Linked DNA regions of Danio rerio. The main gene of each other region encodes a partner of the protein of the gene in region 2 in a complex. Links are inferred from orthologs where the notes say so. Each region holds a gene or a part of one and is shown on either strand. Other genes may lie near its edges. The genes, in order: gid4 and armc8.

Evidence for each region.
Region 1: the proteins of armc8 (region 2) and gid4 are in contact, whole or in part, in a cryo-EM structure (PDB 7NSC), measured with the Homo sapiens proteins. The link is inferred for Danio rerio from reciprocal best matches to the Homo sapiens genes ARMC8 and GID4. Residues at the interface, in NP_001350870.1 of Homo sapiens: Glu309, Pro310, Asp311, Val312, Asn371, Glu373, Arg406, His409, Arg413, Ser414, Val415, Gln416, Arg419, Thr420, Gln423, Asp424, Val444, Ser448, Cys451, Asn452, Leu455, Phe457, Ala483, Val486, Asn487, Trp490, Met493, Asn494, Phe497, Gln498; in NP_076957.3 of Homo sapiens: Leu104, Ile105, Pro106, Pro107, Pro108, Pro109, Ile110, Gln114, Pro115, Gly116, Val117, Ala118, Thr119, Gly125, Gln146, His147, Tyr154, Cys156, Tyr158, Phe174, Glu176, Phe239, Val241, Pro242, His244, His292, Ser293, Ala294, Pro295, Ile296.

The regions. Positions count from the first base shown.
Region 1 is NC_133178.1:67,130,057-67,133,885, reverse strand, and holds part of gid4 (glucose-induced degradation protein 4 homolog), read right to left. Parts: intron 2,272-3,829; coding exon 2,212-2,271; intron 1,629-2,211; coding exon 1,521-1,628; intron 1,418-1,520; coding exon 1,316-1,417; intron 1-1,315.
Region 2 is NC_133184.1:29,559,558-29,563,386, reverse strand, and holds part of armc8 (armadillo repeat-containing protein 8), read right to left. Parts: intron 3,382-3,829; coding exon 3,301-3,381; intron 3,202-3,300; coding exon 3,126-3,201; intron 2,011-3,125; coding exon 1,920-2,010; intron 1,389-1,919; coding exon 1,328-1,388; intron 1,237-1,327; coding exon 1,036-1,236; intron 1-1,035. UniProt on the Homo sapiens protein: Component of the CTLH E3 ubiquitin-protein ligase complex that selectively accepts ubiquitin from UBE2H and mediates ubiquitination and subsequent proteasomal degradation of the transcription factor HBP1.

The DNA.
Region 1 (3,829 bases), on a different chromosome or scaffold from region 2:
CCTGTCCAACTGCTCACTAACTCAAATCTCTAATCAGCCAATCACATGGCAGCAGCTCACTGCATTTATTTGTGTAGACATGGTCAAGAGGATCTGCTGCAGTTAAAGTAAGCATCACAATGGGGATTTAAGAGACTTTGAATGTGGCATGGTTGTTGCTGCCAGACGGGCTGCTCTGAGTATTTCAGAAACTGCTGATCTACTGGGATTTTCACGCACAACCGTCTGTAGGCTTTACAGAGAATGCTCCGACAAAGAGGAAACATCCAGTGAGCGGCAGTTCTGTGTGCGCAAATGCCTTGTTGATGAGGCCAGAGGAGAATGGCCAGACTGGCTCCAGCAACAGTAACTCAAATAAGCACTCGTTACAACCGAGCTCTGCAGAAGAGCATCTCTGAACACACAACACGGCCAACCTTGAGGCGGATGGGCTACAGCAGCAGAAGAGCACACCGGGTGCCGCTCCTGTCAGCTAAGAACAGGAAACTGAGGCTACAATTCACACAGACTCACCAAAACTGGACAATAGAAGATTGGAGAAACGTTGCTGCTCTGATGAGTCTCCATTTCTGCTGACACATTCGGATGCTCGGCTCACAATTTGGCCTCAACAACATGAAAGCATGGATCATCCTGCCTTGTATCAGCGGTTCAGGCTGGTGGTGGTGGTGTAATGGTGTGGGGGAGATTTTCTTTGGGTCCATTAGTACCAATTGAGCATCAACGCCACAGCCTACCTGAGTATTGCTGCTGACCATGTCCATCCCTTTATGAGCACAGTGTCTCCATCTTCTGATGGCTACTTCCAGCAGGATAACGCAGCATGTCATGAAGCTCAATCATCTCAGACTGGTGAACATGACGATGAGTTCACTGTACTCAAATGGCCTCCACAGTCACCAGAGCTCAATCCAATAGAGCAGCTTTGGGATGTGGGAGATTGCCATCATGGATGTGCAGCAACTGTGTGATGCTATCATGTCAATATGGAGCAAAATCTCTGAGGAATATCTCCAGTAGCTTGTTGAATCTCTGCCATGAAGGATTAAGGCAGTTTTGAAGGCAAAAGGGGTCCAGCCAAGTACTAGTCAGGTGTACCTAATAAAGTGGCCGGTGAGTGTGTGTGTGTATATATATATATATATAGCAATTACAAGATTTTATTTTGGATGTGGTTAATCTTCTGACAGCACTAGTTATATTATAATAATCCAAATGTCTTTACTGTCACTTTTGATCAACTTACAGTGCCAGTGCTGGAGGAAATAATAATATCTGACCCCCAAACAGCTCTAAATAATAAGCTCCAGCTTACCTTCCACCGCATGAAGACATAATCACTATTCTTAAGTTCCTCATAGTCGAAATCATCTGAATTAAAGCTCTTTGCATACTGATAAAAGGCCTGAAACTTCCCCTGGGAGAGACGAAGAGCACATTCAGCAGATCAGCTTCCACACCACAGTCACGGCACTTGATGATCCATAATTAGACTCAAAGATTATACACATCGTTATTACCCAGTGTTTTCTGTCCACATCCTCGTCTGCGTCCCATTTCCTGGTTAAAAATGGCCGTTTTTTGCTAATGATCTCCCCAGCGAAAAATGTAGTAAGAGTGGGATATTCCTGAAGAGAGAGTAGATTCAGATGTGTGTGTGCTTATAACACTGATATAACATTAATAAGGCAACATTATTAAAGGGCACCTATTATGCACAAATTGCTTTTATAATGGGTCTAAATACTGCAGTGTGTGAGTATCTCCAGCCTCTGATGGTCAACAAATTGAGTTTGTTATAATCAGACTTGATGAAGGAAACACTTCCCTTTGTGTGTGAGGGGAAAGCCCCGCCCACTAGTGCCCATCTCTCCATCTAATTAGCATAAACAGCAGCCCTGAGTGAGAAGTCAAGGCATTAGTAGCTCCGCCCTCTTTTCAAAAGAGCACAAACTCATTTAAATTTAAAGCAACAGTCACCAAAACAGCACTAAAGTCCTTAATGAGGTAGAGATAGGTTAGTGGGCGGGGCTTTCCTCCTCTGATGACACGTACAGAGGGAGAATGTCAATCAAAGTCTGATTAGAACAAACACAATTAATCACTGTTGACCATTAGAGGTTGGAGATACTCACACACTGCTGACACACACTACTGGGGTTAAACCCCGCATAGAAGTGATTGTCTCTTTAAATGAAGAGTGGGTCTCACCTCCGTCAGGCCTTTGATCTTCAGGTATCCGCACAGGTATGAGTCCTCCATGGTCACGTGCTGCAGATCCAGAGCACAGACTATTATTAAACACACTCCGCGAATGTGGGTCAGAGCAAAACACATTCAGCAGATATCTGTCAAAGAGCTAATCTGAGCTCAAATCTGACATCAAATCACCCTACTCCACTACAACAGAGACTCGGGTCCATGATTGATTATTAGTAGGCCTGTCACAGTCATCAATATATCAGACTGTCACACTAAACAGGAGATCAATACATAGTTTCCACATATATATCAATATCTCCAGCATATGTGACCTGATTGGCATTCAGAAATAAGCTGTTGTAAAAGGACGATTTCACATCTACATCAACGATTCTATCTGCAGATTTCCTTTGTGAATATTAGAAAATCTAAATAACCTCAAGAATGAGATGTGTGTGTGTGTGTGTCTCTTGAACGTGCTAATCTGTTACACTGTACAATTATTATATAATCGGTGGATTAAAATGACAATATCATCACTTATCGCAATCATTTCTGAGTCAATAGTAGCGCACAGCCAAAAGTATTTATTGTGAAGGGCTAATGATGGCACCTACAAGGACAAAACACTGCACACATGCACTAAGACAGGGGTTTTCAAAGTGTGAGGCGGGAAAAATATTATATAATAAAAATATAATTACTAAGTTGAATTATTATGTGTATTTTTTATTATTTTTAAACGTTTTTATTTAACCAAGGTAAAAAAAATAATACGTCAAAAATAAGAAAACCTTTTTTACCCAGAAGGCCATAGCTGTGAATTCGCTTCTGTTTGGCAAGCCCGCCAATACAGGTATATGCCTGCTAATCATGCTGCTAAAACAATGAATCGGTTTCTGAGACCCCCCGATTCAAAGCCTTCAAGTTTAGGGCTTAAACCCAAAAGATGACGATATGATGGTCAGTATTTGATTTTGGATTTACGTGGACAGGACCAGCTGATGAACCACGACCTTTATGTGTGGTTTGTCAAGATATTTTGGCTAATGACAGCATGAGACTCGCTAAACTTCGGCGACACCTTGAAACCAAGCATGTTGAGGTAGCAGGAAAACCTCCAGAATTTGTGTGTGTATGTGTGTGCGCGTGTGTGCGTGCGTGTTTGGGAGGAGGGGGGCGGCAATGGATAAGTTGTGTCAAAAGGGAGGCCCACTGTCTTAGGCTGCTTTCACACCTGTGAATGGATTCAGTTGTTCTGAAACAGAGATTACAGTTGTTACAGTGTTGCTCTTTGCTCTTGGAGCGGTTCGCTTTCACACTGCAAAGTTTCTAATCGGACCTAAAGAGCTAAAACAAGTCACGTGCGAGTAAACTCTCCTCACATTGGTCAGAGTGTCAGGGTTTATTTTGCAGCGTCCCGCTCAGCTGTCAGGAGAGGTGGTGGTTTGGTGGTGATTGTCAGGGTGCGCGCGCGACGTGTCTGAGGAGAGATGCGGTGGGGAGGGGTGAGAAGGGTGCGCGACGATGCCTATTTGAGGACCGGGAGGGAGACGCGAGATCACCGGGAGATCATCACTTGTTTGCAGGCATCAGGAGACTCGCGAAACTTCCCGCCCTACTCATA
Region 2 (3,829 bases):
TAATCTGTATATTTAGGTTTATATAAAAACAGGAGAAGAAAATATGTCCTCCTTTATCAATTAATTAAATGCCAAAGACAAAAAAGATTTAGGTTTATACAAAAACAGGAGAAGAAAATATGTCCTCCTTTATCAATTAATTAAATGCCAAAGACAAAAAAGCATCAAAAATAATATGGCAATCATTTAGCTTGAGGCATCAAAACAATAAAAGTGCATAGTCATTAAAAATATAATAAAATTTAAAATAGAACAATTTAGGGAGACAGTTCATTCTTTTAGACATTTCGAAAAGCATAGGTCATATTTTATATTTTATAATAAAAAAGTTTTTTTTTTTTTATAAATCACGCTGTCACATTTTATTTTATTTTTTATTTTTTTCTGAAATTTTATTTGAACATTATAATAATATTAGGTTTAAACAGTTTCCACTTGCATTTAAAATGCATTCTATGTACAGTTGAAGAAAAACTTAACAGCCCTCTGGTGATATTTTTTATCAAATTTTTCCCAAGTGATATTTAACAAAGCCAAACAAAGGCAGTATGTCCTTTATTACTTTTTCCTTTTAAAGAATATCTTATTTCTTTTAGTTTGATTGAAATAAAAACCCTTACATTTTATTTTTTACAATTTTTTTTTAAGTCAATAGTTTTAGCCCCTTTAAGATTTTTTTTTCAATTGGCTACAGAACAATCCACTGTTGTCCAATTACTTGCCTAATTAAGCTAACTTGATTAATGAACATAATTAACCTAGTTAAGCCTTTAAAATGCACGTTAAGCTTATTATCTTGCAAGAACCCCCATAAGTCTGAATAACTAGTGAGAATATATAGCCAGAAAAATAGTATGTGCAGCCACCATGGAAAAGGCAAAATAAATGAGTTTTAGAAAGCAAATATTAAAACTATTATGTTTAAAATATTTGAAAAAGAGTGCTAATTTCACAGGAGGGCTAATGATATTTATTTCAACTGTTTATGAAATCCCTATTGATTTCCCTTTGACCCATGTACATGTATGCAGTTACCCTTTTAATATCAGTGATGGCGCTGACAGAGCTTGGGTATTTAAAGTAGTCAGCTAACATGGATACAAGATGGTCTGTGACACTGGCAATGCGTTGCAGTTCAATATCTGGCTCCATTAGGTAGGCCAGCGTCTCTGCACCCTCCACTCTCTCCTCCAGTAACCGCTCTTTACTGCACATCCGGACCAGGCATGGCAGAGTCTGTCCAAACAAACACACACACACACCCAACTTGTTTATGTGTGCTGTCAGCTTTTAAATTAGTCACAATATGAATAGGTGTTGTTGCTACCTTCAGTACAATGCAGTTGTCTTCTGTCCTGATGGCTCCTGCTCGACACATGTATGTTAAACTAGGAGGAAGAGTAGGAGTATATAAATTGAAGAGTTCACACAGGTAAATTTACTTTAAATTAGTGGCACAGATAATCTAGTGGCAAATCATTCCTCCTGCTCTTTTTCAAACTTTAATTCTTGTCAATATCTATTCACCTTAGTCTTCACATAAGCGCGAATGCAGCCATTTGAATGTCTTTGGCTTGAGACTTCCGGTCTCATTCACTTCCATTCATTTTTATATGTTAAAAACAGCTTGTTAAGCTTCTTGATGTTGTAAATTTTCTTATTATAATATTCTTCTTGGTCTGTATAGTCATGCAAACACAAGTAGTTTGACTGTTTTCTGACATTATTTTTGTTCTAGTCATTTCTCCAATAGTCAACTAAATTGGAAGTTCTAAAACAATCGCAAAAAACGAGAGCACTTCCACATTGAAGAATGAGGTTAATACTGTTAAATTAAAATACAGGGGAAAATTATAATATAACTATATCATAGGAAAAATAAATAAATAAATATTAACTGCAGGATGAGATTTACTCACCATTTGGCGGCTGTAAGCTGCATTTCGATAGGTTTGTCCCTTTGCATCATTCTAACAAAAACCTGAGAAAGCTGCTCCCCATCTACAAGCACTGAAAACACACACAAGTACATACAGTAAAACAAATATTTATTAAAGGCATGTTTCAGCTTAAAAAATATCATTTAAAATGCATTACATTTAATGATGTGTTTTCTATTTACTTTACTTTAAAATCTAAAATTTTCTCCTTTGAATTTCCAGCAGGCACTGCTTTAGTCTTTATTTGTCCTCCTGAGGTGTTAATATTCTGATTTGATGCTTTGAAACAACAATGCTGCTTTATATTACAAACATTTTATTTAATTATTTCGTAAAAAACTTTTAAAATCTTATTCTTAGATTAGAGTATTTTAACAATCTTAGATTATTTAATAAATAGAATGAATAAACGACTGAATAAATGAATGATTAAAATATTATACTGTCACTTTTGAATCATTTAATGCAGTGGTTCTCAAACTTTTTTCATCAAGTACCACCTCAGAAAAAAATTGTTTCTCCAAGTACCACCAAAATGAGTAGTATTGAATTACAGTAGTGTAGTAGGCCCAGAAAAGCAGCTACAACTCTGCACAGTTATAAGATGTGGCAGATTACCTCAGAAATATAGGCTATATGTCATATATGGCATATTATATACATCATTTTTGATAAATTTTGAAATGTATGTAGCATGTACATGACATATTTCATTTCTCCACGTACCACTAGAAGGAAACCCGCGTACCACTAGTGGTACACGTACCACAGTTTGAGAACCACTGATTTAATGCATCCTTAAATGAAATAATACATATATAAAATAAATAATAATAAAATAAAATTATATATATATATAATTTTGACACAAAAATTTTAAGCGACTTAGACTGAAATTACTTCTTTAGCAACAATGATGCAAAAATCAGCAAAATCAGCAATTACAATGCAATCATATTTACTTGTAAGCATCTACAGAAGTATAGAAACTCTCAATGGAGATTCTGAATGCTATTTTATACTTTCAAAAACCAACTCTACACTCTCATTTCACTGAACAGTGATTCTGATATTAATAAAGATTAAGAAAAAAGATGGACTGCACACAAAAGAGATATTCTTGGCTAACTGTTAGCCAGAGGGACAAAATAATGATGATGGTAGGAGAGAGAGGGTCATGCTCACCATTCACCAGTGTCATGGAGACCTGAGCGTTCTCATAGGCCAAGACTGAGAAACACTTCAACGCCTGCATCCGTACCTGCAGAAAGAGTTGTTCCCACATTATTACTCAGAATACACCAACCATTATTAAAAATACAATAGCTAACAGAAAAAGCCACAAGGTTACATATCGTACCTTATAAGATGGAGAGATAAGCAGAGGAGCGATGTTCTGGATGGCACCGTGGTTGAACAACACTGTCTGATGTTCAGGAGTCTGAAAAAAAAAAAAACATAAAATAAAACCAACAAACGCTAATGGAAAATATATGTAGCATTTTTACAAAAATTATACATTTGTACTTTCCCGTTTCATACTAGTTTTAATATATACAGTAAATAGCGCTAAAATTGGGTTTTCAGGAATAGGTAAACATGGGCACTGGACATGTGCCCAAGTAGAATACTTAGCATTAAGTGCAATGCTGTACAAGCTACAGAGAAAACATTTGTTAGACAAACCATACATAAGCAGATAAATGCAGGATGTTGTGCAAATCATAAAATGTATTAGTCTACAAATGATGCACTACAGTGAGAATATTTGGAGGTTATATATGGCAGTGGTTCCTAAAATGGGGTTGATAAATATATAACTATATAAATATATATATATATATATATATATATATATATATATATATATATATATATATATATATATA